Drosophila melanogaster: one gene and its partners. The protein of the gene in region 2 interacts with the protein of the main gene of each other region in a pairwise test. Each region holds a gene or a part of one and is shown on either strand. Other genes may lie near its edges. The genes, in order: sesB, CG18476, Ant2 and elfless.

Region 1 (10,400 bases), on a different chromosome or scaffold from region 2:
CCTCTTTTTTTTGTACTTTTGTTTTTTGTTGTTAATTAACGTATGCAGCAGATTGACAATGGAAAGCGACATGGCTTTCTGTTTTTAATGTTATTTTTATTTAAATGGCTAACTAACGTTTAAGTCTTAAATCCACCCGCACAAGACCATATCTACGAAAACGAGTAGGGTGGGCAGCCCATATAGTACATAACCTTTTATCATTTCATGGCGTACATATAATGATTTTGTAATTTTTTTGAAATGTATTCAATCGAGACAAAATAATATACGTAAATTAATTAAATTTTTTTTGTTTGTCCTTCACATATAGTTGAATATAACGACTAGCTTAGCTTGTTGAGAGGATAATTAGATCCTAGTTAGATGTGGCCCACCCTAATCCGTACACACACATGCACCAAAAAGCAAAAAACACGCGATGATGAAAACAAACAAAGAGCGCACAACAAAGATTTGAGTTCAATATATTATTTGTATTTTCTCAACCACTGCGAAAGTGAACACAATCTGAAATGAGGGACCGACCACCATGTGGGGCGACCTATCAAATCAAATTATTAATTTACTACTGGGCTCGTGGGAGCAAGTCCTCCTCGACGAAGAGGTGGACAGTGTGTTCGGTTGGTGCTACGCCATCGTGGTGTGACATTTGCTGTGGCCGGGGCTGCTGCTGCTGCTGCTGGCGATCGAATTGGCCCACCACAAACGGCGGCACACTGGGGCTAAAAGTACTTCTTCATCTCGTCGTAAAGGGCGAGAACCAGAGCACCGCCCGTGCCGCGAATTATGTTCGATAGGGCGCCCTTGAAAAAGGCTCCAATGCCCTCCTGCTTGGCAATCACCAGCCAGCAATGGGCTGTGTTCTTGTACACCATCTCGGACTTCTTCAGGCCAGACTGCATCATCATGCGGCGACGCACAGTATCGAAGGGATAGGAGGCAATACCGGCAACGGTTGTGACCACCTGGGCAATCGCCCAGCTCACATAGAACGGTGTGCTCTTCGGATTCGGCAGAAAGTCGCGGCAAGTGTCATAGAATCCAAAGTATGCTGCTCGGTAGATGACGATGCCCTGCACCGACACGATGAATCCACGGTACAGACCGATGGGTCCGTCACTCTTGATCACCTTCATTAGACAATCGATCAGGCCGTTGAACTCCCGATTGCCGCCCTTGCCCACATCGGCGGCCAAACTGTCGGCGGAAGATTGAATTGGAATAGTAATAAATAGTTAATAACAAAATCGAATCCAATGAAAGTAAATCAAATTCAAATCAAATGGGGAAAACAGTTCATGTGGGTGAATAATGCAGTTGTAGAAAAAGCGTCTTAATGTATAATCTCATTTGGACATCGATTATTTTGAACGACTATAGTAAGTATGTAAAGGTTCGAATTGTTTTCCTCAATTACTCAAAATTATCAATTTTTAATGTATATGTGTATAAATGAAAAAACCAATTGAATGTGTATATAATGAATCAACTTACCGGGTTCTGGCAAAGTCCAGTGGATAAACGAAGCACAGAGATGTGGCACCTGCTGCACCGCCAGAGGCCAAGTTTCCTGCAAAGTGGCGCCAGAACTGCTTGTGCTTGTCCACGCCCCCGAGGAATACCTGTAGTATGTTTTATGTTTTATATGTTATAGGCGTATGTGAAATGATTATTATAAGGATTGTCCAAACAACTAACCGATTTGTACACATCCTTGAAGGCAAAGTTAAGGGCTTGAGTTGGGAAGTATCGGATTACGTTGGCCAAGTTGCCGCGCCAGAACGACGAGAAGCCCTGCTCCTTGGGAATGCGAATGAAGCAATCGACTATGCCCTTGTAGCGCTGATCTGCCGCGATCTGCTTGGAAACCTCCTGCACCTGCAGAATGAGCTTCACGCGCTCGATAGGAGCCACTGCCGTTTTGGCTATGGCAGCTGAAACGCCGCCCATCATGAAGTCCATGAGGAAAGACTTAAGGTCTCCCTTGCCATGACCACCGCCACCGCCTTCATCGCCCATGTTAGTTTACTGTTTAATGATTTTAAAACGATTTAGTTTAGCTTCAAAGTTGGTTGGTAAAAAAGGATAAAAACGGACTTTCACTTTTTACAATTTTTAATTTTGATGTTACAACGTTGAGATCTGAACTGAGATTGGCTAACGAGGTTGTGTGCCAGTCGGTCGAAATGACATTCGATGTATTTATCGTGGCCTACTTTGACCAACAATTTTAGAAGCGATGAGCGTACGTTTTTTTCCTCTTTTAACAACAGAAAATAATTATAATAATTTAGCTTCGAACTGCCGAAGATTAAATTGAGACGACCAATTGGTTGACTGCACAAATGGTCTGTGTAAGTATGCTAATATAATTTTTGAATTACAAATACATATGTACTTTCATTGCAATAATTGGGTTCAAGTCGAAATATGAAAGATCGATATACATACATACATATGTACGTGCGCAGAAAGAAAAACACAACATTGTACTATTTTTATCAATTTTTATATATTTTTAAACCAACCGAAGTTGAGTTTGTTTGTTGGTTTGTCGTTTCGGAGGCGAAAGAATCTACAGGTCTTCGGTTCGATTCTTTGCATCCGATCGATAACACTGATTTGGCTGGGGAGATGTGGGACGACCCAGCAACATGACTGGATCTATAGTATATAGCCTAACCCAAACTTAACAATACTAATCGATATCGTCGCTATGTTCGTTCGTCTTTCAGTGTAGTGGGTCTAGTCTCATGTGCTGAGTCGCATCCTCTCTCTGCCCCGAGCATTGCTGTTTGCTGTAGTATTGTTGTTCTATTGACGCTGGCCATCGTTCCGTAAATTAGTTCCCAGTTTTTATAAATAATATAATTTCATAATTATATCGGGGTGAGGAAGGAAGGGTTCTTGCTGTTATTGCTTGCCGTTGTTCGTGGTAAGAGGTGTTGGTTGCAGATCAAACTTAGCTTATGCCTTTGCTGTTGCTATTGCTGTTGTTTTAGCTTTTCTCATTCAGTTATCTAACATAATTAGCTGGTAGTGTTTAGTTTTACTTCTTTTGTTTTGTTTTGTTGTTGTATGTTGTTGTATTTTGCTTGTTTTGAATAATTTAATAATTTAATTTACAAGACCTTCTTGATCTCATCGTACAACACAAGCACGAAAGCGCCACCAGTTCCTCTGAGAATGTTGGAGAAGGCGCCCTTGAAGAAGGCACCGGTGCCCTCCTGCTTGGCGATGGTGGCCCAGCAGTGCAGTGTGTTCTTGTAGATGACCTCGGTGGCCTTGCGACCAGACTGCATCATCATGCGACGACGCACGGTATCGAAGGGATAGGACACGATGCCAGCGACGGTTGTCACAACCTGGGCGATGGCCCAGCTGATGTAGATGGGTGTGTTCTTGGGGTCGGGCAGCATACCGCGAGCGGTATCGTAGAAGCCGAAGTAGGCGGCACGGTAGATGATGATGCCCTGCACGGACACTCCGAAACCACGGTACAATCCAACGATGCCGTCGCTCTTGAAGATCTTGGTCAAGCAGTTGCCCAGACCGGTGAATTCACGCTGACCACCCTTGCCAGTATCAGCAGCCAAGCTGTAAATTCGTAGCGAAAGCATTACGTTAGTTTATTGGACATTTTTTTTTTGTTTTTCGCAAATATACCAACATACCGAGTACGGGCAAAGTCCAAGGGGTAGACAAAGCACAGAGAGGTAGCACCAGCGGCACCACCGGAGGCCAAGTTGCCGGCGAAGTAGCGCCAGAACTGGGTGTTCTTGTCCACGCCACCCAGGAAGACCTAAGTTACACACATAATAGCAACCGGGGCGTTAGTGTTTTCCGCTCGCATTGCTAACATGCAGACTGCAAAGTCTCACCTGCTTGTACTTGTCCTTGAAGGCAAAGTTCAGAGCCTGGGTTGGGAAGTATCTGATGACGTTGGCCAAGTTGCCGCGCCAGAAGGACGAGAATCCCTGCTCCTTTGGAATGCGGATAAAGCAATCAACCATGCCCTTGTACTGCTTGTCGGGGCTGATTTGTTTCGAGATGTGCTGAACCTGCAGGAGCAGTTTCACACGCTCAATGGGGGCGACGGCAGTCTTGGAGACAGCTGCGGAGATGCCTCCGGCAGCGAAATCCTTGACGAATCCAACAGCATCGAAATCCTTGCCCATTTTGCTGTAAACACATCGTGCAATTGGCCAAAACTCTGATTAATCTCGACAGTTCCGTCATCGCTGATGGTGATACTTGGTGATACCGATGATGATATACCTTTGTGATGTTATGGATGCTGATATATTCCCCATGGCATGCGGGTGATGGTGCGTTGCATAATGGTTACGATATACGTTTACGGTATTTTTGTATAGTGGATGTACGATTCACTTTGTTTACACGGGTGCAAAAAAAGGCACAATAGAAGAATAGCCCAAAGCCAAATGAAAATGTGAAAATTTTCAATGTATTAAATTATAAACCGAAACCGAAAAACATGCACTTTTTTTTTATTTTTTTGAACAGTTATAAACCGAAACCGAAAAACATGCACTTTTTTTTTTGAACAGCACTACAAATGGTTACAAAACATTTTTGCGGGTGAAGTAAAAAGGTTTTAGCGACAAATGAAACAAATAAAAACATGCACAGTTAGTATAAATGGCAACTTAAACTTAATGCTAAAGGGGGTTAATATTGAATGGTTTATGGAAACATCAGCGTTTTGGTTACAATTATTTGTTGTTTGTGTTAGTATGCGTGTTGGCAGTTGCCGGTAAAACTGGTTTTGTGCAAAAAAGGTGAAAAGTTTTATTGGCCGGCTGGTTGCCACGTGGTGGTTTAAATCGATATAAAATAAGTACTGTTGGAAAATTAAGTTCTAACCAGTTAGCTTTGAAAACTAAGTAAAATACATGGCATTACGTGGCATACATAAATACATAAGTGCTTATCTAATTTATGTTATCTAGAGAATATGACATAAATCAATTGCAGTTCTAGTTGGATAGAGCGGCAGTCTACTGGTTTTCATTGAGTAAAGATTGGGGGATTGCATAATTGCCACACCACACAAAAAAAAAGAAAAGAATTGAATTGAAAAAGTTCAATGGAAAAAGCCAATATATATGGGCATTTGAGTGGGTGTGAGCAAGATGGCTATAGAGGCCACGGTTTTTTTTTTTGGCAGTTGGCATTCGCCATTGAAGCGCGTTTTGTTAATTTTAGACTTTCAAGAGCAGCCGCCGCTCTGCGTTAGCCGTGTGGTTTAAATTATATTTTAGCGAAATTAAATCAGCATTTCATTGACAAGGGTTTTATGTAACACACTTGGCAAAGAGAACTGTGCTTTGCCATTGTTTCGTTTCTCTTCTGTTCTCTTTCTTTGAAATAACAACCGTTATCTAATCGTGTTAGACTTTTGATTGGCTGGAAAGAGAGTGAAGCTTTTTCTTCGGCCACAGCCACAGAGAGCCGAGAGCTAAAAGGCTCGTGATGTAATAGCCTCAGCTGGAAAAATTCTACAGTTGCACGTGGAAAGCTTCCACCGAAGGCTGAGCAGTCGTAGTAGTATCCACAATCCAGTGTTAAGTTTATTCTTAATTCATTGTTATTGATTGCATAAGACCACCACCACACACCAGAAAAAAAATTGTTCAATGAATGATTCAAGTTCAACTCTTTTGTTGTTTTACATAACCAGGCAGATTTTCTTTCAATGCTCAGGTTGGATTTGATTTAAAAAAAAAAAATAATAATAAAAGCATTAGGAACCACACGCGTATTTTGTTAAATGGGCTATGGCTCAATTCGATTCGATAATTGATATCCAATTTGTTTGCCATACGTACAATTTGTATTTGTGTTTCTATATCACAGCACAAAACCGAAAAAAATTTATCCTTATTCCTCGGAAGTCAGAAGTCTGAACCGGACGGCAACTGAATTGCTTGTGAAAGTTCCTTTCGCCGAAATCTGCCAGCTAGCCTGCTCTGCCTACGTCGGCGTCGCAGTCGCCGCCATCGTCAAGTTCAGCAACAGATGAGCGTGAGCGAGAGAGGGGGAGAGCGTTCTCTCTCTATATGCATATGCAGAGTATGCGAAATTCGGAGAGAGCCGAAAAAAAACTAGCGGTTGGCAACAGCACGTGTGCGAGCGAGAGAGGGCGAGAGATCGCCGCTTATCAGTGCTGAGAATTCAAGAATTCAATGTCGCCATTCGTTGCATAAGAGGAAGTATTGTACCACACACTTGTACTCATTAGAAAACACTTTTTGTTTCGTTTTGGCCATGACCAAAAATGCATATATGGCCAATTGTTTTTCATTTACCCCTTTCGAGGTTTTCGACGGCGCTTTCTAAACGCTTGCCAAAATGAATGTACGCACAACATTTACATTTGGCAAATAGCCGACAAGTCAGCTGCGAAGCAGACGGATAGTCCCGTTTAGCTAGTTGTTAGCTAGATTTCTAGAAGATTGAATAGTGTACTTCTATTACACCCAAATACATGTCTTCCTTATTCAACAAAATTGGGGTATCTTTGATATTCAGTTTTAAGAACTACTTGGACTGGCTTAGAAAACTTCAATATACAGCAGTGAACAATTTATTCAAATACAAAAACCAAAACTATTATCAATTTTTATAAAAATAAAAGTTGAAAAGAGTTGAAAGGTTTTATTAATTGTTTGTAGCTATTTAATTGCTAAGCTATTAATAACATTTGGCTTTATTTCTAAAGATAGGGTTGGCAGCACTGCTAGCATGTGACTTTGCTTTCTGACGTCCACCTGCCGCTCTCTCCCTCTCTCTCACGCTTCGTCTCTTTCACGCAGGCGGAAGAGGGGCGGCGCTCGAAAAAAAATGCGTGAAGCGATTAGATAAACACTTCTGCTAATACAGTTAATTTATATAACTGTCTACGACACTTTTTCAAGGTCCCGTTATCACAAAAATTACATAAAAAATAAAAGAGAGCTAGTTGCCCATCAAAAAAGAGAGCGTAAAAAATGCAGTTGCAAAGTTACTGCAAAAATGCTTAATTGCCAAAATTAAACGGCAGCGAAGTTATAATTTTTATGGCTCAGTGTGCGATGAATCGGGGTTTTAGGACAGGGCGTGGATCGGCTTGAAAATCACACTGAAAATTTCCGCCGACTGGGCGAGAATTGGAAATGTGATTCGCCAGGGATATGTAATAATAAACACTAATCTCAACCAAGTGCAAAATCGCACTAAAAGGCCACACAAAGGGCTACAATAAACAATAAATCACATGAATACTATACGTACATTAACGATTGACGTCAGAAAGGGTTTAAGGGGTATGGGAATGGAATAATAATAGAAGAAATGAGAACACTGGGGAAACCCGTTTTTTTCGCATGAATTTTTATCTTTAATAAAAGAAAGCAGGTCAGAAAAGAAAGGGAGGCAACCAAAGAGAAATAGTTACATTACTCTTAAGAAATAAAACCAACTCTCTCTCTCTTCTTCACACACACACACCCGATAAGTACTTGCACGCGCAGCTGGTGTCTGGCATGGGAGTGAGCGAGAGGGCGTTAGTGGCACATGGAATTTATTCGCAACTGTGTGTTCATACACACTCATGTGCGACTGGGCGGTAGAACAATCAATTGCCACGCGTTTTACTATAGAATAGCCTGCATTTGGTGTATATAATAATATATTTGTGCAAATGCAGGCCAATTTGATTCTAGAGAAGTGCAATTCTCTTTGAAATATAATCGCAATTCATGTGCAACATTTTTTCGTACAGACGAGCCGGCCTGCCAACTCGTTGCTATTGCATAAGTTGGCAGTTCCAGCGTGGTTGCAAATTGGAAGGAAATAGATGGGAAAAAGATCCAGCGTGGCTTCTTCCATTTTCTTTCTGGGTATTCTAAATGAACTTTGGATTGGGGGTATAAAATACCGAAAAGTTTGCTAATACGCCCAATTTATTACGTGTTTAATTGATGGCAAACACAATTTCGGCACAATTATTTTTCGCAAGGGTTATGTAAGCACTTTTCGGGTATTTTCAAGTCCCATTTCGGGATTTCTTTTCGATGCAGTTAAACCGGAACTGCTTGTCGAACATACAAAAAAAAACGTTAGTTTAAACCAACACCGACACAATAAAAAAATTAGCACATTACATAACTACAGAATCTAGCGCAAGGTGACGTGAATTAATGGGTAAAAAAAAATCAATGGCAGGTACGGGGCACACCGTCTCTTTTCTTGTTAAGCAAAAGAGCCTCGCAAATGTAATAGATATAGAAAATAGCACAATACCTTCAGTTGATAACTTCTCACAAAAGTCACAGAATAAAAACTTCTTTTGCAGAATCAGACGAAGCCGCGTGCTCACTTGGCGAATGAAATTCGTAAAGTGGTGGGGGTCTCGAGGGCCCAGTGACTTGGGGATGAAAGCTGCAAAAATACCGCATATCGATAGTTGCTTTAACTGGTATTTATTCGGCGATCTATCGATATTCAGCTAGATTTCGGTTTTTATTCGTGATATTTTTGTCGGTAACTTTTGCTAGTATAAATAAATATGGCTATTTTTGATGTAATTAAAACCAGTATATTACGTTTTATTATAAAATTAAGGCAAGCGGGGATTGAAGCATCAATATCGATATTTTTTAATACCTTAAAAATATTTTTACATCGACTTTCCCATTATGTTATATTATTTTATATTATATATTATATTATTGCGAGTTCTGAATTACACAAAAGTTAAAGACTATTTTATGTTTTAATAATGGATTCATTACAATTAATCTGCACGCTTCTTTGGGAAATTAACAACGACCTGTACGACCTCCTTTTGCCAAACTATGATAAAAACTAGTTTGAATGTATTGCATTTAACGCGGTTTTTTAATTGCTCTTTTTTTTACAAAAACAAAAGTTTTCTTTTTATATTAAATCAAAGGTTTGTCCAAAATTGGAATATCTCATACCTCGTTGAAATCGTTCCAAATTCCTCATCGAACTGTATTTAAGTCTGGCAACTTTAATTTTTGGCCATTTTTTGCAAATTTGGTTATCGAAAATGAGAAAATCGGTAATTTGTCGAATTTTGATGATGGTACCCCTAATGAAAAATTGCTTAAATTGGTCAAAAAAATTATTCCTGAAACTCGGTTTGAAAGTGTTACAGATTGTTAGCAATGTTAATAAGCAACACAAAACAGTCATCGTTTTAGCTGAGCCACCTTTTTTGGCCAAGTTATTCTGAAAAATGTTTTTCGAAAATATCATATTCTTAATTTTAAAACGTTGTTGAAAAGGATAATCGCAAAACTTGATTCAAAATGCACTTCTTATATACGAAAAATCATTTATTGAGTAAATTTCTTTTCGATTTGTTTTTCACATGTTCACAAAATTGTATTTGAGTTAGTTGTATATCTGGTTTTCTAATATTTTCCTTGGCCTTGGGATACAATTTAGTAAGCTTTTGTGTCTTTTTATTTGCTGTATGTGGGTCTTGTATACGGTAATTTCGTATTGAGCGCTAGCAATATTAACATTTAGTTACACCGAAATGGGGAAAACATCTTACGCAGATTAGTATGTTATGTATACACCTATGTATATCTCTAGTTTTTGAATCAGCACCCTGGGACAGGCCAGAATACTAGGAGTTTTGGGCGTGCTGAGGGGTATGGTAATCAAATGAAGAACCCTTTCTTTTGAATTTCGTTGGTTGGACAGAGGGGTTAATTTAAAGGCAATGGTAAAGGTAAAAGATAAAGGCAAACAAATGCAAAGTACTGGCTAGTAAATACTGGGGCCTCTAAACTATGACGACACATCTAGACATCGAGTCCTATGTCCTTTACGTGGTTATCTAGATTACTTTCGGGTACATATTCCATGGCAGATACAAAACATACACAGAGTGGATATTTGATATATGTATAGTATATTGGTTATCGTGTACCGATTGTGTTAGCGTTTTGCTTGTGGTTAAAAGACAGTTATACAATGTAATTGGGAATATAGTTTTGTTTTCATCCTATTTGTGTGATTTATTCGTTCGCTTTTTTTTTGTTTATTTTTTTTTTTTGTGGTTTGTTTTTGTTTTTATTTAATTTTTTCTTGTATAGGAAACAACAAAAATGGACGCAAAATGATTGTTATAGTAGTATTCATGTTTACCCATCTTGCTTTTACGTTTAGTTAACTATATAGGAATATGCAAAACGTACACTTAATATATTTTTTTTGGTTTTGTTTTACGATTTTGTTACTATGTTCCTTATCGATCTGATACTATATAAATGCAGCTCTAAAACTTGTATTCTTTGACATTGTTCTGTTCCATCTGTCTTTCTTTTTATTAACTATCTTTCGATCTGGCGGCA
Region 2 (8,043 bases):
GCCCAGTGGCATGCAGCCTCTCTGAAGTACAAGGAACTAAATGGACCCTATTCGCCCAAATACAATAATGGCATTTTTACAGAGCAAACGGCACCTATATTTAAGGGTATGTTTGTTAACACTAAGAAATCCTTTATAGAAGAAGTGAGCAAGTTTGACGGTGTGGATGAGTACTTGCACAAAATGGTAAGTCACTTTACTTTATTCCTTGTAACTAACTTAACAAAATCATATTTTGCAGCCAGAGATCTTGGATACGTATGTCGACAGAATACTTGAAGATGCCAAAATAAATGAACAAGCGTTTAATGTGCTCAATCATGGTGATGCCTGGATAAATAACATCATGTTCCAATACGAATCAGATGGTCGCGTCAAGGAAACCCTCCTGTTGGATCACCAAGTCACGAAGTATGGAAATCCTGCCCAGGATCTGTATTACTTCATAATGAGCTCCACTCAACTGGACATCAAAGTCGATCAGTTTGACTACCTTATCCGATGGTATCATCAAAACATGAAGGAGCACGCCAAGCTGTTGAACTACAACGGATTTATTCCCTCGCTAAAGGAACTGCACGCCATTCTGATACAGCACCCCATTTTTGGTAATTTACAGAAGGATTTGAGGTTTTTAAATTCCTCTGACTGACATGTTTTTCTTCAAGCTGCTGGAACTGTGCTCACTACCTTGTCGATGTGTCTTAACAAGACAACCGATGACTTTACCACTGATAGCTTTTTGGGAAATGAAGAGAATGGCAAATCCCTGAGGGAGGCAATGTTTAGCAACGAACGTTATAGGGCCAATATAGAGCGTGTCATGCCATGGATAAATAGACGAGGACTGCTTGATAATTTTGCCAACGGACATTCCCAATAAATACTTTACTTCAGACAAATTTCAGGTTATTTACTATTTAACAAACGACTAAATAAATGTGTGATCACAATTCTAACTTGCTCAAGAGAGCTTACATTTGTATTTCCTACTTTTCTTACTTGAGAGCAAATTTCACGGCCACTACAATACTTGAAACAAAGATTAGTGCGAGGGCCAGCTTCCTAAGATTGGCACGATTCACACCTTTGATGGTCCGTACTACTTCTATATTTAAGCGAAATACGTTGCGACTTTCCTCAATAAAAGCAGCACGCAAATCATCGTCAAAAGCTCCGTAGTGATTGTTGAAAACGCGCCTTAGTTTGGCCTTTAAGACAGAGATCTGAAAGTGGATATAAAGACAATAGATATAAGGAACAAAGTAAAAAGCTACGCACCTTCTCAGGAAAATATGTGGCCTCACATCCCGGCGGGCAAATGGTAACCTGGGCAGGCATTGGCCTGGCCTCCAAGTCGTCTTTGTCTACAGAGCCATCGGCAGCTCTGGCGGTGGCCAACTCTGCCTCCTTGTCGGCCTGCTTCTGCTGCTCCTCGTCATCGTTCTTTGAAAAGATCCACATTTTACGAGCGATCATACGCTTCTTCTGCAACATTTGTCCGCCGGACATCAAAGCCATGTACATCTGATAGGAGTAGGCGAACAGCAAGAGTTCGTTCTGTGCGGCAATCTTTTCCAGATGCTCGAGATATTTCTGGACCGCCGGGCGAATTTCGTAGTCCTTCCTCCAATCGGAACCGTAGAAATAGGCAAAATCCCTTTCAAATGCCGCTGTTCTGTGGAATTCTTTGGGCAGCAGGCGCTCCGGCAGATGGGTCTCAAAGAATTTGTACAGTTCGTAGAAGGCCAGGAGTCCATCATACCAGACCTCGTCATCAGAAAGGGCTATGGAAGAAGAGGAATATCTAATAACTTCTAATAATATCGTGTAATTAACGAACCAAGTGCGATCTTTGCATTCACTAGAACATCAGTAAGATTATGCACATCTTTTGTGGCTTTACGCAACTCCTTTGTGAACGCCATGTCTACGAATTCCACATCCTCCACATTCTCGGAGACCTGACTGTCCGCTATTGTTTCTTCGCTCGCTGACATGTTTCTTTTGCGCAGCTATTGTTCCCAATTACAAAGTAAAATATATTCCTTATCTACGTGATATTTGCAAAATACGCCGTCTTTGTTTTGTTTTGAACTCCACGCCAGTGTGGCTGTCTAACTAAAATATACTGAAATTAAACGTAAATATACCAAATTGCTTTATAGCACCAGCGGGCATTTCAGAGTCGCCTGCAACTGGCCATACTGTTGATTTGGCTGTAGTTGCTCCGCTTATTTTTATTTTGTTTAGTAATTTAGGAAAGTAATAGTTTAAGATCAAAGTGTTAAAACCGCAATAATTGTAAGTGTTGCATGCGCTAAGAGCAACTGCTAAGTAACACTTTAGTTTTAGTAAACACACAAAGCGACGGATTCTTAAGACCGCACGCGTGAAATTGACCACTCTATTCTTTTACTTACATTTCGCTTTGCAACCAAACACCCACGCACACACAATCACCGACTGCAGTTGAGAAAGCAGGAGGACACACAACATAAGCAGCAACAACAACAAGTACACTAACGCTTTTGGCTTTGGTTCTGCACTCTTACCCACTCCCCAAAAATCCGCCCAACTTACTGTACTTTCCCCAAACACTTCCAACCAACCGACCTACCACCCACTTGATTTGACTCTGAAGAAACCCAAAAGCAATGTCGGATCTCTTTACCACTTTCGATAGCAACGGCGTCGCCGAGCACCACCTGCACCACAACCACAACTCCACATCGTCCGCCAGCGGACTGCTCCACGACCCACCCATGGCCTCGCCCTCCCAGCACAGTCCGATGACCAACAACAGCAACTCATCCTCGCAGAACGGCGGACCGGTTTCCGGTTTGGGTACGGGAACGGGCCCCATATCTGGTGGTAGCAAGTCATCCAATCACACATCATCCGCCGCCGGTTCCGAGAACACTCCCGTAAGATGCGTGCCTTATGGAGTGCACACGGAATACGCCAGGGTCTAGTTTAACTCTCTTCCGAATTACAGATGCTTACCAAACCGCGTCTCACAGAGCTCGTCCGAGAGGTGGATACCACCACGCAGCTGGACGAGGATGTTGAGGAGCTTCTGCTTCAGATCATCGACGACTTTGTCGAGGACACCGTCAAGTCGACGAGCGCCTTCGCCAAGCACCGAAAGTCTAACAAGATCGAGGTGCGCGACGTGCAGCTGCACTTTGAGCGGAAGTACAACATGTGGATACCCGGCTTCGGTACGGACGAACTGCGTCCCTACAAGCGGGCAGCTGTCACGGAGGCGCACAAACAGCGCCTTGCCCTCATACGGAAAACGATCAAGAAATACTAGAGGATTGGATCTAATCGGGTCGAGGCTCTGTTTCGGTTTGCCGGATTTCGCGTATGCTAAACGTGCACACGCCACAAACTAATTTAAGCTCCAATTTAGATTAAATAACAAATTATCGTCGCTCTATTGTAGATTTATTGTAATAAAAGTGCACTATTGATTTCACATTCAACAATTGGTCACCGTCAGCAGTAAATTTTAAGTCGTGATTTTTTAATCACAGTTTCTAATGGTTCTGTAATATTTGTATTAATTGTTTGTCTGGTGGATATTGATTTATATTTTTCATAATTTAACAATTTCTTCAGTTTATTTTAAAAATATTTGTGTAATATTTCCCTTTGAAAATAATTAGCGGACTCTGCTGAACGCACCCAATTAATTGCTGTATTTTTTAACAACGTGGTATTTTTTTAATGACCGAACGGTATTTTCCATCTCTCGCATCAAGGTCATACCATCAATAATGTTGATTTTCTGATTGTTGATTTAAAATTAAAAAAGCTTTCAATTGGCCAAAACAAATTTGTTCGCCATGAAGCTGCCGGTGATTTGTCGCACGTGCGACTCCACGGACACCGACAACCTTCTGAAGCTGGCCACGCCCTCGAAAAAGTATCCGGACAAGTTGCTTTCGGAGATTTTATGCGAGCTAACCGAAATCAATGTAAACAAAGTTCTAAGAAGCGAAATCTACGAAAAATGCAAACTAAAATGAAACATTTACCTTTCAGCTGGATGCAACTGGTAGTCAGAAATTTCCGCAATGCTTGTGCAGTGGATGCACCAAAAAATTAATGGGTGCCTATTGCTATGTGAAGCAGGCGATGGCCGCCAACGAACTTCTAATGAAGCATCTAAAGAACGGTGCTGCTCCAACGTCAACCGACTGTCTGCAGGAGGCGCCGATGGAGCTGTGTGCTGAGCAGCATGTGGAAGTCAAGCTGGAGACTGAGGATGAGGACTGTGGCGAAAATGATGTTACTATCACTTGTTCCGAACTACCGGAACCGGACGAAACGGACATGGAGAGCAAAAAGTCGGTGGACCCACTGACCATGATTGAAACGGTGAAGCTGGAAATGGAACCCAGAAGCGTGGAGAAGCCAGCGTATGACGATCCCACATCGGACTTTGAAGACGAAGAGTGGGTGACAATTGGAATTTCCCAACTACTTTATTTTAACTAACTAATCTTGCAGCTCCCTGGATAATTTGCCACTGTATAATCGCATTCAAAAGTGGAAAACAGGAAGAAAGTCTGTATATAAATGTCACGACTGCCCTAGGAGTTTTAAACGATTCGACTTCTTGAAACGCCATGAAATGCGCGTCCATAAGCCAGAAACTCGATTATATGACTGCTCCCTTTGCATTCGCAAGTTCAGCCGCAGCGAAGCCCTCGAAGCACACCTAAAAATTCACCGGAATTCAAAACGATCGGCCAACATTAGCGAGCACAAGAAGGCCAAGGCTGTGGATTTGAATCTCTGCAAACCGCATGGCTACAAGCTGATTGAGTGCATGATCTGTCAGAGCCAATACAACAAGATTGCTGATCTGCGCCGGCATTTGGAGGAGCACCCCGATATTGTTAGCCTGTGCGGTCGGCCAAATATGGAGCCCCATGAGCTGGCAGAGCTGTTTTATCCCGATTCAAAGGACCTCAGTGAGGAGCAGTTAATCAACTTGATTCGCAAGGATCTAGCGGCGGGTATCTATCAGCGTTTCTATTCGATAACGAACCAAAGTGGCTACGAAATGGATCTGGACAGCTCGGAGACGGACAGCGACCTGGACGGAGATCACGATGACCAGCACAAGAGGCGAAAGAAGTCGCGCAAAGCCACCTACAGCTGCGAGCTGTGCCAGCAAAAGTTCCCGCGAAAATATCAGCTTTATGACCATCAGCGACAAAGTCACAGTTGGTCAGACGCTCCTCACGTCTGCGGGCGATGTGATGGACGTTTTGTAAGTCTGCAGCTGCTGCGCCACCACAACGAGTCGCAGTGTAGGAATGCACAAAAGCGATTTCTCTGCCACAAATGCCCGCTACGCTTTCGCTGGAAACACAACCTGAAAACACACTTCCGCGAACACAGGATTACAGTAAGTTAATCTAAGAATTGTTCAGGCTACAGACCCATTGCATCTATGAATTTTACAGAATCAAACGTTTGAATGTTCCGAGTGCAAACGGGTCTTTGATAAAAAGAAATCCCTCACCGTTCACCTGCTTAGCGTACATGCGGAGGAATCCAAGCTGATTCCCTGCCAGTGGTGCAGTCGCAAATTCTATCGGCACGACTACTTGGTAAAACACTTGAAGCGACACGGTTTGAAAGAGCATGACATTCCCTTGGCAGAAACATTGATTGCTGCCACCTCGCGGCCAAACGGAGCGAAGCGCATTACTTGCCGCATGTGCAATCTGCATTTCGAGCGTATTGTTGATCTGCGAGCCCATATCCAGTTGGAGCTTAAGCTATCCCTGTCGCTACACCAGAGCTACGACTCCCCGCATAATTATTCAATAACAAACGAATCTGGCTTTGAGCTGCAGCTGGAGGATTCGGAAACCGAAGACGAGATGCAGCCCGGTGTGGGCAGTCGCCCCGTATATATTTGCGAGCTGTGCAGCGTGCAGTGCAAGCGGAAGTTCGAAATGATCCAGCATCAGCGGACGATGCATCGCTTTGACAAAATGCCACACGAATGCGACGACTGCATCTTTAAATGTGTCTCCAAGGTGAGGTTTTAAATGTGTATTCTACATTTAACCAGTATAGATACATTATGTCAATTTCATTATTGCTTCAGAGCATTATGGACCACCACCGGCAAGGTCAGTGTAGTAGTACAGAAAAGAAGCATGCATGTGGCAAGTGTTCCTACAAGTTTATGTGGCCAGAGAACCTAGAGCAGCACATTCTCCTGCAACACAGCAAGTCTTCCGTCAGCAATCCGACTGGCGACAGACACACGCAAGGGACCGGTGACCTGGAAAAGGATGCCACTGAGGACGGAATACCGCTGCTACAGTGTCCACACTGCGATCGCACGTACCAGATGAAGTCGCGCCTGAACAATCATATTCGCGATGTGCACATTAACGGCGACCGCAAGCGCAAGGAGGCAATTAAGCGCTTCCTCTGCTCCCTGTGCGGAATGGAGACGAGATCAGCCGCCGCTCTTGTGACCCATATGCGACGCCACACTGGCGAGAAGCCCTTCAAGTGCGATCTGTGCGAAATGGCCTTTCCCCGCCACTCAGAGCTGGCCTCGCACCGCCGGATGCACACCGGCGAGAAGCCATTCCACTGCACCGTCTGTGGCAAGGACTTTGCCCGCTCCGATAAGCTCAAGCGCCATATGCTTACGCACAGCGGCCTAAAGCCGCACAAATGCACCTACTGCGAGAAGAGTTACCGTCAGGCCAAGGACCTGAAGCTTCATCTCCAGCAGCACACCGGCGAATGTCCTTTCGTGTGCGGCACCTGTGGCGAGCGCTTCATCCAGAGCAGCACGCTGGAGAAGCATCGGTTGATGCGGCGTCACTTCGACGAGGTGGAAGCGTGGCTGAGACGCCAAAAGTAAGGGGCTCTTGCAATAAATACAATTTGGTCTAGTATAAAAGGAATGACATTATTATTTATTGGTCGTGGCGTGGCATCACTTCAGAAACAAGACAAATTACTACTTTAAATATTTGAGCATTAAATGTTTATGACTTTAGTTGAAAGTAAACTTTGGGTGTAGCATGGAATGCCTATTTGTGGCCCTATTCGCTTTACAGCTCTTCAGATCCAGAGCGCGGTTCGATTTTTACCAACTCCGTATCGAAGACGAGCACCGCATTGGGGGGAATCTTTCCGCCACCCGCTCCACTGGCTCCGTATCCCAGCTCAGGCGGAATCGTCAGCTTTCGCTGCTCACCCTCACACATACCAAGGATTCCCTGATCCCAGCCCTTGATCACCTGCCGAGCTCCCAGGGTAAAGGAGAAGGGAGTGCCGCGGGAGTAGCTGCTATCGAACTCTGTTCCATCCTGCAGTGCTCCCTAGAATGATTCCAAATTCGGGGTTAGGTCGGCTAGAGATCTTCCTTATCTGATTTCCCTTACTCTGTAGTGCACGTGGACGAGATCGCCGCCCTTGGCCTTCCGGGTGCAGTTCTCCACCCGCTTCTTAATGCCAATCTTCACTTTCGGATCGCTGGCAGCGGAGGCGGCCACAAAAGCGCAGATTAACAAAATATAAGTTAACTTCATCTTATCGAAAGCCAGTATCAAAAAACACTCGCGGTTTAGTGTGACCAGAGATCTACAATAATTTAACTTGTTCCCACTGCACACATAAAACCAAATAAATATAACAACTCAAATAGTTTTCAACGAAATTAAGAGATTAAAACTTGTTTTTTTTTTTTAACTTTGAAAAAATTAGTAACCAAAAGAAATTTTATGTAAATAAGAGAAAGATCAGAAGTGCAGTAGTATCGGTTCATAGTTAAAACCCAATCAAAAAAGGTCTCACTTAAATGCGAAGCCCGCGAAATTTAAAACTTCAAAAACCACTGCTGGACATATTTTTTCTTGTAATTTACAATAATATGAGTATAGTACAGCTCGGACTTAAAAATAACTTACGTACATTAAAGCTCATTTAAAATAGATACACACATTGTTTGATTACATATTTGACTTTCTTAAAACAAGGAGAGCT
Region 3 (7,174 bases), on a different chromosome or scaffold from region 2:
TCGTGTTAGACTTTTGATTGGCTGGAAAGAGAGTGAAGCTTTTTCTTCGGCCACAGCCACAGAGAGCCGAGAGCTAAAAGGCTCGTGATGTAATAGCCTCAGCTGGAAAAATTCTACAGTTGCACGTGGAAAGCTTCCACCGAAGGCTGAGCAGTCGTAGTAGTATCCACAATCCAGTGTTAAGTTTATTCTTAATTCATTGTTATTGATTGCATAAGACCACCACCACACACCAGAAAAAAAATTGTTCAATGAATGATTCAAGTTCAACTCTTTTGTTGTTTTACATAACCAGGCAGATTTTCTTTCAATGCTCAGGTTGGATTTGATTTAAAAAAAAAAAATAATAATAAAAGCATTAGGAACCACACGCGTATTTTGTTAAATGGGCTATGGCTCAATTCGATTCGATAATTGATATCCAATTTGTTTGCCATACGTACAATTTGTATTTGTGTTTCTATATCACAGCACAAAACCGAAAAAAATTTATCCTTATTCCTCGGAAGTCAGAAGTCTGAACCGGACGGCAACTGAATTGCTTGTGAAAGTTCCTTTCGCCGAAATCTGCCAGCTAGCCTGCTCTGCCTACGTCGGCGTCGCAGTCGCCGCCATCGTCAAGTTCAGCAACAGATGAGCGTGAGCGAGAGAGGGGGAGAGCGTTCTCTCTCTATATGCATATGCAGAGTATGCGAAATTCGGAGAGAGCCGAAAAAAAACTAGCGGTTGGCAACAGCACGTGTGCGAGCGAGAGAGGGCGAGAGATCGCCGCTTATCAGTGCTGAGAATTCAAGAATTCAATGTCGCCATTCGTTGCATAAGAGGAAGTATTGTACCACACACTTGTACTCATTAGAAAACACTTTTTGTTTCGTTTTGGCCATGACCAAAAATGCATATATGGCCAATTGTTTTTCATTTACCCCTTTCGAGGTTTTCGACGGCGCTTTCTAAACGCTTGCCAAAATGAATGTACGCACAACATTTACATTTGGCAAATAGCCGACAAGTCAGCTGCGAAGCAGACGGATAGTCCCGTTTAGCTAGTTGTTAGCTAGATTTCTAGAAGATTGAATAGTGTACTTCTATTACACCCAAATACATGTCTTCCTTATTCAACAAAATTGGGGTATCTTTGATATTCAGTTTTAAGAACTACTTGGACTGGCTTAGAAAACTTCAATATACAGCAGTGAACAATTTATTCAAATACAAAAACCAAAACTATTATCAATTTTTATAAAAATAAAAGTTGAAAAGAGTTGAAAGGTTTTATTAATTGTTTGTAGCTATTTAATTGCTAAGCTATTAATAACATTTGGCTTTATTTCTAAAGATAGGGTTGGCAGCACTGCTAGCATGTGACTTTGCTTTCTGACGTCCACCTGCCGCTCTCTCCCTCTCTCTCACGCTTCGTCTCTTTCACGCAGGCGGAAGAGGGGCGGCGCTCGAAAAAAAATGCGTGAAGCGATTAGATAAACACTTCTGCTAATACAGTTAATTTATATAACTGTCTACGACACTTTTTCAAGGTCCCGTTATCACAAAAATTACATAAAAAATAAAAGAGAGCTAGTTGCCCATCAAAAAAGAGAGCGTAAAAAATGCAGTTGCAAAGTTACTGCAAAAATGCTTAATTGCCAAAATTAAACGGCAGCGAAGTTATAATTTTTATGGCTCAGTGTGCGATGAATCGGGGTTTTAGGACAGGGCGTGGATCGGCTTGAAAATCACACTGAAAATTTCCGCCGACTGGGCGAGAATTGGAAATGTGATTCGCCAGGGATATGTAATAATAAACACTAATCTCAACCAAGTGCAAAATCGCACTAAAAGGCCACACAAAGGGCTACAATAAACAATAAATCACATGAATACTATACGTACATTAACGATTGACGTCAGAAAGGGTTTAAGGGGTATGGGAATGGAATAATAATAGAAGAAATGAGAACACTGGGGAAACCCGTTTTTTTCGCATGAATTTTTATCTTTAATAAAAGAAAGCAGGTCAGAAAAGAAAGGGAGGCAACCAAAGAGAAATAGTTACATTACTCTTAAGAAATAAAACCAACTCTCTCTCTCTTCTTCACACACACACACCCGATAAGTACTTGCACGCGCAGCTGGTGTCTGGCATGGGAGTGAGCGAGAGGGCGTTAGTGGCACATGGAATTTATTCGCAACTGTGTGTTCATACACACTCATGTGCGACTGGGCGGTAGAACAATCAATTGCCACGCGTTTTACTATAGAATAGCCTGCATTTGGTGTATATAATAATATATTTGTGCAAATGCAGGCCAATTTGATTCTAGAGAAGTGCAATTCTCTTTGAAATATAATCGCAATTCATGTGCAACATTTTTTCGTACAGACGAGCCGGCCTGCCAACTCGTTGCTATTGCATAAGTTGGCAGTTCCAGCGTGGTTGCAAATTGGAAGGAAATAGATGGGAAAAAGATCCAGCGTGGCTTCTTCCATTTTCTTTCTGGGTATTCTAAATGAACTTTGGATTGGGGGTATAAAATACCGAAAAGTTTGCTAATACGCCCAATTTATTACGTGTTTAATTGATGGCAAACACAATTTCGGCACAATTATTTTTCGCAAGGGTTATGTAAGCACTTTTCGGGTATTTTCAAGTCCCATTTCGGGATTTCTTTTCGATGCAGTTAAACCGGAACTGCTTGTCGAACATACAAAAAAAAACGTTAGTTTAAACCAACACCGACACAATAAAAAAATTAGCACATTACATAACTACAGAATCTAGCGCAAGGTGACGTGAATTAATGGGTAAAAAAAAATCAATGGCAGGTACGGGGCACACCGTCTCTTTTCTTGTTAAGCAAAAGAGCCTCGCAAATGTAATAGATATAGAAAATAGCACAATACCTTCAGTTGATAACTTCTCACAAAAGTCACAGAATAAAAACTTCTTTTGCAGAATCAGACGAAGCCGCGTGCTCACTTGGCGAATGAAATTCGTAAAGTGGTGGGGGTCTCGAGGGCCCAGTGACTTGGGGATGAAAGCTGCAAAAATACCGCATATCGATAGTTGCTTTAACTGGTATTTATTCGGCGATCTATCGATATTCAGCTAGATTTCGGTTTTTATTCGTGATATTTTTGTCGGTAACTTTTGCTAGTATAAATAAATATGGCTATTTTTGATGTAATTAAAACCAGTATATTACGTTTTATTATAAAATTAAGGCAAGCGGGGATTGAAGCATCAATATCGATATTTTTTAATACCTTAAAAATATTTTTACATCGACTTTCCCATTATGTTATATTATTTTATATTATATATTATATTATTGCGAGTTCTGAATTACACAAAAGTTAAAGACTATTTTATGTTTTAATAATGGATTCATTACAATTAATCTGCACGCTTCTTTGGGAAATTAACAACGACCTGTACGACCTCCTTTTGCCAAACTATGATAAAAACTAGTTTGAATGTATTGCATTTAACGCGGTTTTTTAATTGCTCTTTTTTTTACAAAAACAAAAGTTTTCTTTTTATATTAAATCAAAGGTTTGTCCAAAATTGGAATATCTCATACCTCGTTGAAATCGTTCCAAATTCCTCATCGAACTGTATTTAAGTCTGGCAACTTTAATTTTTGGCCATTTTTTGCAAATTTGGTTATCGAAAATGAGAAAATCGGTAATTTGTCGAATTTTGATGATGGTACCCCTAATGAAAAATTGCTTAAATTGGTCAAAAAAATTATTCCTGAAACTCGGTTTGAAAGTGTTACAGATTGTTAGCAATGTTAATAAGCAACACAAAACAGTCATCGTTTTAGCTGAGCCACCTTTTTTGGCCAAGTTATTCTGAAAAATGTTTTTCGAAAATATCATATTCTTAATTTTAAAACGTTGTTGAAAAGGATAATCGCAAAACTTGATTCAAAATGCACTTCTTATATACGAAAAATCATTTATTGAGTAAATTTCTTTTCGATTTGTTTTTCACATGTTCACAAAATTGTATTTGAGTTAGTTGTATATCTGGTTTTCTAATATTTTCCTTGGCCTTGGGATACAATTTAGTAAGCTTTTGTGTCTTTTTATTTGCTGTATGTGGGTCTTGTATACGGTAATTTCGTATTGAGCGCTAGCAATATTAACATTTAGTTACACCGAAATGGGGAAAACATCTTACGCAGATTAGTATGTTATGTATACACCTATGTATATCTCTAGTTTTTGAATCAGCACCCTGGGACAGGCCAGAATACTAGGAGTTTTGGGCGTGCTGAGGGGTATGGTAATCAAATGAAGAACCCTTTCTTTTGAATTTCGTTGGTTGGACAGAGGGGTTAATTTAAAGGCAATGGTAAAGGTAAAAGATAAAGGCAAACAAATGCAAAGTACTGGCTAGTAAATACTGGGGCCTCTAAACTATGACGACACATCTAGACATCGAGTCCTATGTCCTTTACGTGGTTATCTAGATTACTTTCGGGTACATATTCCATGGCAGATACAAAACATACACAGAGTGGATATTTGATATATGTATAGTATATTGGTTATCGTGTACCGATTGTGTTAGCGTTTTGCTTGTGGTTAAAAGACAGTTATACAATGTAATTGGGAATATAGTTTTGTTTTCATCCTATTTGTGTGATTTATTCGTTCGCTTTTTTTTTGTTTATTTTTTTTTTTTGTGGTTTGTTTTTGTTTTTATTTAATTTTTTCTTGTATAGGAAACAACAAAAATGGACGCAAAATGATTGTTATAGTAGTATTCATGTTTACCCATCTTGCTTTTACGTTTAGTTAACTATATAGGAATATGCAAAACGTACACTTAATATATTTTTTTTGGTTTTGTTTTACGATTTTGTTACTATGTTCCTTATCGATCTGATACTATATAAATGCAGCTCTAAAACTTGTATTCTTTGACATTGTTCTGTTCCATCTGTCTTTCTTTTTATTAACTATCTTTCGATCTGGCGGCATCTTGCATTTGTATATCTCTTACGCTTTTCAAATACATTTAATAACATTTCTATAGAAATATTCAAAGCTGAGGTAGTTAATTCATTCATTTATTCTTTATTTTAGTTTACGTTAGGTTATGTTAGTTTAGTGTACTCCATATATATGATCGGTGTTGTTAGTTAGGTATACATCTATGTATGTACTCACACGCTATTTGAATTTATCTGACGACTTTAGCTCTTCTCAAATTCACATTAAATTAATAATTTAGACAACTGTTTGAATAGGGGGTTACGGATCATTAATATATGTATGTCTGGGTACAGGGACAACATCGAAAGCCTCTCGAAACGATCGGGATTATAGGATTTCGGAATCGAAGCCGATTTGGAAAGGAGAGAGGAAAACCAGTTACTGAAAATCAAAAATACTGAACTACAACGAAAATAAAAACAACCAAGGAACGAATTATTTTTGTTTTTTTTTTTGTGTTTTTAATAATATTTTACTCTTTTTTTGTTATATTTATAATATTTATAGATATTTTAGCTCTGTAATGTAGATACAATGTACAGTGTAGATACATCTGGTGTCGTCACATCATCCTCATGTAGATTATGTGTAGATTAAATGAACTTAACAGTAAAATGTAGACGACGCAAAAAAAAGCTCTAAACTAATTTAGGTAAAGATAAGGATAAATTTAAAAATAATTAATGTAAAAATAGTGGTATTTTTTTGTAAGTTTTCATCTTTAATTTTATGTTTTTTTTTGTTTTAAGCTTTAGTATATTATGTGTAAAGTGGTTTCTATATAGTTTGCTCGCCGTTCAAAAATTGAAAAAATGATGTGTGCAGGTTAGGGTTCTGGTGAAAGGGGGGGGGGGACTGCTTAAGGTCCCATGAGGGGAGTTGGGTGCCCAGCGGATGGTTTTAATTATAAACTACTATCACACAGGCAAACCAGGCGCTGGAGAAGTGAGAAGGGGGGAGGTCTGATTAAATGGAATTGATTGGGTGGCTGGATGTGGGGTTCGGATTTGGAGGGACTATGGGGACATAGGAATATGGAAGTGGAGTGTTTGGTTGGTTGACGAGGGCGGCAAAATGATATACACAACAACAAAATTATAAAATAATCAAAGTAAATAAGCGGGAATCGTAGATTGATTCCCATATGGGTAGTAAGATATCAACGGAAGATAAAACGGAAATCATTTTTCAATATGCCAAATAAAATGCAATAAACTGACTACGCAACGCCAGGCTTATCGATTTATAATTTATATAGCGTTATGCATGCTTATTTTTTTTATAGATTAAGGTTTTTAGTTAGAATTTGGTTATAGAATATAGTTTGATGTTGCATGTGGGTGGTGGTGAATGGGTGTTTTTTTTTTGTTTTTTTGCATGTAGGGTGTTGGGGTTGGTGTTAGTGTATGTATGTGTGTGTGTCTCTGCAATAAATATAACGGTAACTAAATATATGTTGTAGCTCAGTCTCCAGTTGATTACCGTATATAATCTATTACAAATCGAAACAATAAAAAATTATAAATGTATGTATAAATAAGGTCTATTAAATATATATGCATATATGTATATTCAAAATGCTTGAAATGTACAAAAACAAACAAACAAAGCTCAGTGGTTCGGGGGTAAAGAGACTCTTTGAACTAGTTTTGCTTTCGCTTTTCTCTCATTCTTTTTCGTTTCGTTTGCTCTCCTTATCCTCTCCGTTCTATCCTCTTTTCTTGTTTCGTTTCGTTTCGTTCCAATGCATAGTCTACATCATACAACATTTTAATGCATTTTGATGTTGCGTTGTTGCTATTGTACATATACAATATGAATAGGGATTTCCATATCGAATTTTACATAAAGAATTTAGTGTTTCTTGGGGTGTGTGTTTTTTTCAAAATTTTTGGGGTCATTTTCCCTTCGGTTGTTGGGTGTTTTTAGTTCATGCTTATCGCTTTTTTTTTGGGTTTCATTTTGTTAAATTTTTGTGTTTTTTTTTTAAATGTGTGTTTTGTATGTGTAAACTTTTTTAGTACATTTTCTTACTGCTGACACAATAGGTTTTTTTTTATTATTTTCCACTTTTGGATCTTAAATGCTAAAAATATATAGTAAATGTTGAAAGTTTTATTTCATGTTTTCTCTTCTCAAAAATGTTTTATTTTCAGTTTCGGTTTAGTTT
Region 4 (6,329 bases), on a different chromosome or scaffold from region 2:
ATTTGCCACTGCCATCTGCCTCGACCTTCGTTTTCAGTGGAGGTGCTGCAGCATGCCTTGCATATTTAATCCGGGCTACATTGGACCCGATCCGCCCTGCTGTGACCCCGATTGCTTGGAGGAGGGCCACTGCACGGTTCCGGAGTGCGGAGTTTGCCCGGAGTCCCAACTACCCCGATGCAATCCCGCCCCACAATCCAACAAGGACGCGGCGAAGCAACCACTGGACCAGAAAGCCCAAAAAGAACCGAAGCTCCGGGAACAGAAGTAGTGGGGAAAAAGGCAAAGCTGCAAAAATGAACCAGGAGTCCTTTGGAGATGTGCTGAACACACAACCTTGTTGTGTGTTGCTAATATCTTCAAACATCTTGAGCTAAACCCATTTAGCTCATCATCTCCTGGGCATCGAACCGTCATATTGTAACATTATATTTCAAAAAAATTAATAATAATAATAAATAAATAAAATGAATATCTATAAATAATAAAAACAATAATAATATATATTAACCTCAAATTACCAGCTCTTTTCTATTTTAGCACAAAATAACTGTGGATAAAAAATACAGATAAAATTAATTCATTTTCTTATGATCTATCTAAAATGAAGTCAAATAAATTTAAACCAGCATTCTTGATTTAAATGTCAACAAAATAACACATAAGCGTACATACGCATTTTCTTCATTCAAATTTCAAGCACGAAACGTGTTGTTCTGGTCAAACATTTGTTTAAATTTCTCATTTTTCTCTTCCATTTCCGGTGAGTTTCGAAAGAGAAAATGTGGGAGATGTATTTATAAAATAAGATTTGCAGACTTCTTTCGAGTGCTGAAAATGGTTTACTTAAGTCGTCCTTGGACTCCGGCCATAAACCCTTTCTACATTGGCCCCTATCCGAGATGCGCAGTATGTCCGTGCAACTTCGACATTTACAAAGGATACACCCCCGGTGGCTGGCACAGTCGTTGCTATAGCAGCTATTGACGAGACGAGTACCTGTATAAAATGCAAGAATAACGGCGGGAACAAATATAGTTGAACTTTGAAACTGCACACCAATTAGCCTCGCACACATCTATGTAGAGAAATAATAAAATTGATTCATCGTCACCAAACTGTTGAATATTGCTGGGGAAATAATATAAATATTCCAATCGAAATGGCTTAGATTTCAAATTAGAACTCCTGGGAATTTTAGTTTATCAGGTCGCAAATTGTGTGAAAATAGTTTTCTAAATTCAAAATTCAAGTCTCTTGGTCATGTCCTCGTCTGTGGATCACGTGGTACACCACGTACTGGCCCCAATGGCAATCAACGTCCTCGATCGCGTGGTGCCAGTAATCCGCCAATTGGTGATCATCATGCATCAGGCATTTCTGGTTGATCACCATGTGTCGGAGCCCGTGATCGATGTATCCGGCATGATTCAGCCCGTTCGTAAAATAGTCTTGATTGTAAACGATTCAACGCCGGAGCACCATGTCGACCAGGAGCAGGTGGTCAGTTCGGATGACATTAACTACCTGATAAATGAAATTTCGCGAAGTATCCGAAACTTGGCCCGTTCGACCTATAATACCATCTCGGCGATGGCTGGAGAGTAGCCCTAGAATTATTTGTCATCGTGGTCGATCGAAAAATCCGACATCGACCCTCCTGATCCTCCAGAAGATCCTGCTCCTTTGCCCAAGATATGGAAATGGTTCACACGGCCATCGGAGTTGCGGGCATAGTGGCCCTGTTTATGGTAGTTTCCCGTTCGTTAACTGAAGTGGGTGGCAGGGTGTTAAACCAAACCCGTGATCCGATCGCTGACCTTGTGAGGCGCGGTGGTCCAGTGGCGGATCAGCTGTCCGCCGTCGAGGGCGAAACTCCTCTAGTAGAGGGCGATCGCATGGATGGCGCCTGCTCCGTGGTACAAAGTATTGGAGGCAAGGCATGTGCCTTTGTAGGACCATTGCTTCCTAAGTTTGGCAGTGAACATAATTCCGAGGGCTCCTCCAAGGAAGACGAAAAGGATAAAAAGGACTCGGAACCGGTAGTAGTAAAACCTGAAACACCGCCAGCGGCAGAATTAACCGAAGAGGAGTAGGATCTAGTCAGCAACTATGTCGAATAGAAAGCAAAAAAAAGGAAATTTTTAGTTTTCTCTAGTTGGCCTTGGAAATAAACTTCACTCATCTTGTGGGCTTTGTGGGATTCGAAACCTAGAGAGCTCATTCATTTTGAACAGCTTGGACTGAACACATCTCTTTCGTAAAATAAAACACAAAAAAAAACAATATGAAAAATTGAACAAAAATTCTAAATTCGTAGCCAAGGATTAACTTCAACGTATTTCTTCAGCAGGAAAAAAAATCCCAGGTACGTTCTAGTTCGTTAAAATTGAATAAAAAAGTTATACAATTTAAAAATTGTAAAATTGCTTTGTTCCCTATAGTAATTTTTAAATATTTGGTAATGTTTTGTTAATAACAAACCCCGTTTTGAATGGTTGCAGCCGTACCTTTTGAGCCCCTCCTGCAGATTTTAGAAGAGATTCCAGTGTCCTTTACCAAATCCAAACTTTCAAGATGGTTCTGATGCTTTGCTGCAGCTTCGATCCCTTCTACGTTGGACCCTGCCCACCCGGCTGCCTGGCTCCTTTGATGGGAGGAACTCCCTATTGCGGATGTGGTCCCTGTGGAGGTTGCTGTAGTCCTTGCTGTGGTCCATGTGGTCCTTGTGGTGGCTGCAGCTCGTGTCCTTGCGGCTGGTGAAGCGCCCGCTATCATAGGCATTAATACGGCAGCAAGCGGTAACAAGTCAATTTAAAGATCAACCTTCTGGAAAAGACTGCTGGAGAAATATGTTGCTGTTCGAATTCCTTTTTGCCTTGGCCGGGGCTAAACCAACTAAGCTCTCGTATACATAAAGAATTTTTATTATAAGCTGTTCAGTAATAAAATGAATTAAAGTACAAAAGGAACTGCTTTGTGATATATCTCAACACCGAATAGATCCAACCTGGCAAGTGGATTACGTCAATGTAAACGTGGATGGCCAGCCTCCAGTTAAGGATGCAAATGTTGTCCTAGGTCTTGCCTAGAACAGCTGTTTGGGGCATCAGGTTTATTGCGCAGTCGCGATTCGAACGCGCAACTCGAACAAAAACATAGAATGTAGAGCATTGTGTCAGGTCAAAGGTTGTTGGGGTAGGGATGGAACACCCCCTTCTATTATTCAATCTTTGAATGAAAATGAAACTGAATCTCCAATGCCTCCTGATGCCATGTTGTGTTTTGGATAAGCGCGATTTACAGGGCCGTGTCTGAGGTGTCCCTGAGTTTTTCTGAGGTGGTGATTCCACTTCATTTACATTCATGTGTGTGTGTGAGCTGGCCATTTCACTCTTATTTTGGCATCACTTGCTTTGTTTTTCCGCGGAATTTATTGCGGTAGGTCGGAATTTTCATTGCTTGCCTTCCATTTTTCCGGGGTTTCCTGCAAGTATGCGAGTGTGTCCTTGCGCCATGTTTTATGGCCAAAGTTGTCTGTCTTGTATTTGAGTTTTAGTTTCTCAGCTGAAAGTTTTCGATTGCATTGTGTTTCTTGAGTATGTTGCCTGGGATAAGATTTTGTTTGCGTTGTTATAATGGAGCAACAGTTTCTTTAGGTGTGAATATTGTGTTACGGTCTTTCGAAAGTATATGCCACAAGTCTATTTGTGGTATTTAAAACCGTGGTATTTTTAGTTTAGTATGCTTTCTGCCATATCACGTCTTACAAGAAAATACGATGGAATTCGGGCTCATCCACTCCGCACAATGGGCATACCCTGCCAGTGTCGACAGCTCTCTTAATGCACGCTTTGCAGAAAACGTGGCCACAATTGGTGGACACTGGTAGCTTCTCGCGGACATCTTCCAGGCACACAGGGCAGTTGTAGGGCAAGACAGATTTCTTGGACTCCTCGTCATCTGATTTGATCCGTTTGTTGGGAGGAGAATCCTCGTTTGAATCTGAGGATTCTGTATGTCCCATTGGTGTTGATGATTCGGTGGAGCTCATACTGCTATCGAAGCTAATGCTGGTCGATGAGCTTTCACTATCACTGGAACTAGACGACTCTGAGTCGCTGGAATACTCCAACTGCACAACAAAGTTAAAGCTATTAAAACCTATGGATTCCGGATCGAGATGAACGAACAAGAACTTACCAGGAATGGGGTTCTGTCGATAGATCTGCTGCTGCTTGAGGAGTCCGAGTCTCCGTAATACTCATTTGGATTCCGCTCCTATTAAATGATGTTGTAATGTAACCAATGGATTCTGGGTGGGACCTGGCTAGAACAATAACTTACAGAGGAACCGCTGAGTAAGCGGGATCTTAATCCGGAGGGCGCGAGTACGGGAGTGGGCCCGGTGTTATGGATTCGCTGTGATACTCCAGAATTATTCGAGGTCCTGAAGTTTTCCATTTGAAGTCCCACCTATTCCATAAAGTGTATTATCAATAGATTTCAGAGCTGGGTGAACATGAACTTACCAGGTAACTGAGGCGAGAGCTCAAATGTGAACGGTTTCTGGAAAAGGGTAAGGAAATAACCCTAGTGTTCTGCTCCCATTCAGTAGAAGAGTCTGAGTCGCTGGAATCACCCATTTGAAATCGCACCTGTTTTTGCAGTTTTAATACTACCAATGAATTCTGCCTTGGAACTTACAACTTTTTACAAATTCAGTTGAACCCGTTTCCTTGCTTTTTATTTGCAAATTTACAAGAAAGCTGTTTGAACATATGTCAAAAAATCTTGAAAGTTCCAGGACACAATACCAGTATTTTAAGTGCCAAAGGTCACACTGCGATAAAAAGTACCATTTCAACGCGCCAACAATCATTGTCCGATTTCCATGATTTCCAAATTGGATATTTGCTTAGGATTGTCACCCTAAGAAGTACTATTTATACCAGGTACTCGTGGAGTAAAAGGGTACACTAGATTCGTTGAAACAAATAGAAGGAATTTCCATTTAATTAAGATACAAAACCGAGTAGATCTGGCTATGTTCGCCTGTCTTGCCGGCCGTATGAAAGAATCATAGGAACTATAAAAGCAAGAAGGTTGTGATTAAGCGGACAGATTCTAGAGACATAGACGCAGCACAGATTTTTTGGCCCTGTTGCCACGCCCACTCTAACGACAAACCGCCCAAATCAAATTTGTTTATAATTTTATTAGTCTTGTTAATTCTTATCGATTAGACACAAAACTTTTTGCCATGCCCACTCTAACGCCCAGACTTTAGAACAATTTTTAAATGTTTTCACATTCATCGATATCCCAGAAAAATGATCGAATTTCGCGTTCGTATTCCCACTAGCTGAGTAAGGGGCATCTAAAAGTTAGGGAACTCGACTATAGCATTCTCTCATGTTTGTATCTTAAATGGTTAACATAAAATTAAAAAATATGCTAACAGAAGTAACTCCCTACAACGAAAGAAATTCAAAGATCGAAAGTCCGGACTCAACAACATAGAATTCCCGAAGTCACACACGAACTTGCAACATGTTGCAAGTGCCGCTCGGACTGTCTCGAGCCGTTGGAAGCTCCAGCCGCGTTCTCGACTTCCGATTTAACTTTCAGCGCGCTTTCGGCCGACTTCAGTGTACGTTTGGCTCGCGCAGAGTGCGGATTGCAGTTCGATTCGGCTTAATCAGCCCAGTGATTTTAGCGTATTTCATCCGTAGGATTGCTCTGCCGCAGATCTGGCCGATAAGACTTGGCAACACATCAGGACCCAATCCTGGAGGCCCTAACCGTAATTAAATTATCGGGCGAGTTAATTGGCAGCCCGAGAGTTGCGAAAGTCGTAATGACGGTGCCATTCATCTGGCATTTAGCTTGATTCCCGTTCGCCGATCGCTTTGCCGTGCTAAAGTCTGTAATATTTGGTTAGTGCGGGTTGCCAAAAAGTTAAACAGAACAGAAAGTACGGTTCATTTGCTAAATACACGGGACCATTCAAATATCCCGACACAATTTAAGAGTGTGTGTGGGCGTGTGTTTGTGTATGTGCGCTCAGTGAGTGAGATGTGTGGCAAGTTTCATTTATTGGCAGCCAGCAACTGATTTGAATATTCACTCGCACACTCATACCCGAAAGGATCTGCGCTGCCAAAATACTAGACCAGATTGTGGCTCCTGTGTCGCCCGTGCATAAGTGTGTGTGCAGTATGATTTATAGGTCCTGCAGCAGGCGTGATGTAAAGTGACAATTTCTGGTAATTTTCGATTTACATGCCGTTGTGCATTGGGTAAGTTTGACGAAGGATCCCTGGATT

The links.
Region 1: the proteins of CG18476 (region 2) and sesB interact in a two-hybrid assay, tested with the Drosophila melanogaster proteins (one large-scale study listed by BioGRID).
Region 3: the proteins of CG18476 (region 2) and Ant2 interact in a two-hybrid assay, tested with the Drosophila melanogaster proteins (one large-scale study listed by BioGRID).
Region 4: the proteins of CG18476 (region 2) and elfless interact in a two-hybrid assay, tested with the Drosophila melanogaster proteins (one large-scale study listed by BioGRID).

The regions. Positions count from the first base shown.
Region 1 is NC_004354.4:10,778,496-10,788,895, forward strand, and holds sesB (stress-sensitive B), read right to left. Parts: upstream 8,413-10,400; 5' UTR 8,311-8,412; intron 5,964-8,310; exon of another isoform or gene 5,856-5,963; intron 4,395-5,855; 5' UTR 4,317-4,394; coding exon 4,282-4,316; intron 4,186-4,281; coding exon 3,885-4,185; intron 3,806-3,884; coding exon 3,678-3,805; intron 3,601-3,677; coding exon 3,126-3,600; 3' UTR 2,498-3,125; downstream 1-2,497. Other genes in the region: Ant2 (adenine nucleotide translocase 2), read right to left, coding at 726-1,200, 1,498-1,625, 1,702-2,022.
Region 2 is NT_033777.3:11,673,828-11,681,870, reverse strand, and holds CG18476 (uncharacterized protein), read left to right. Parts: upstream 1-3,754; 5' UTR 3,755-3,854; coding exon 3,855-3,986; intron 3,987-4,053; coding exon 4,054-4,466; intron 4,467-4,521; coding exon 4,522-5,428; intron 5,429-5,486; coding exon 5,487-6,068; intron 6,069-6,139; coding exon 6,140-6,916; 3' UTR 6,917-6,951; downstream 6,952-8,043. Other genes in the region: CG6830 (uncharacterized protein), read left to right, coding at 1-186, 242-608, 669-883; Ho (heme oxygenase), read right to left, coding at 999-1,226, 1,282-1,787, 1,844-2,000; Taf12 (TBP-associated factor 12), read left to right, coding at 2,658-2,927, 2,999-3,319; CG14715 (uncharacterized protein), read right to left, coding at 7,110-7,379, 7,443-7,589.
Region 3 is NC_004354.4:10,783,908-10,791,081, forward strand, and holds the start of Ant2 (adenine nucleotide translocase 2), read right to left. Parts: upstream 3,001-7,174; 5' UTR 2,899-3,000; intron 552-2,898; exon of another isoform or gene 444-551; intron 1-443.
Region 4 is NT_033779.5:18,006,731-18,013,059, forward strand, and holds elfless (elfless), read right to left. Parts: upstream 4,746-6,329; 5' UTR 4,647-4,745; coding exon 4,533-4,646; intron 4,477-4,532; coding exon 4,348-4,476; intron 4,282-4,347; coding exon 4,204-4,281; intron 4,136-4,203; coding exon 3,767-4,135; 3' UTR 2,913-3,766; downstream 1-2,912. Other genes in the region: CG5693 (uncharacterized protein), read left to right, coding at 53-271; CG42659 (uncharacterized protein), read left to right, coding at 838-987; CG42634 (uncharacterized protein), read left to right, coding at 1,264-1,608; CG42635 (uncharacterized protein), read left to right, coding at 1,698-2,096; CG31740 (uncharacterized protein), read left to right, coding at 2,578-2,763.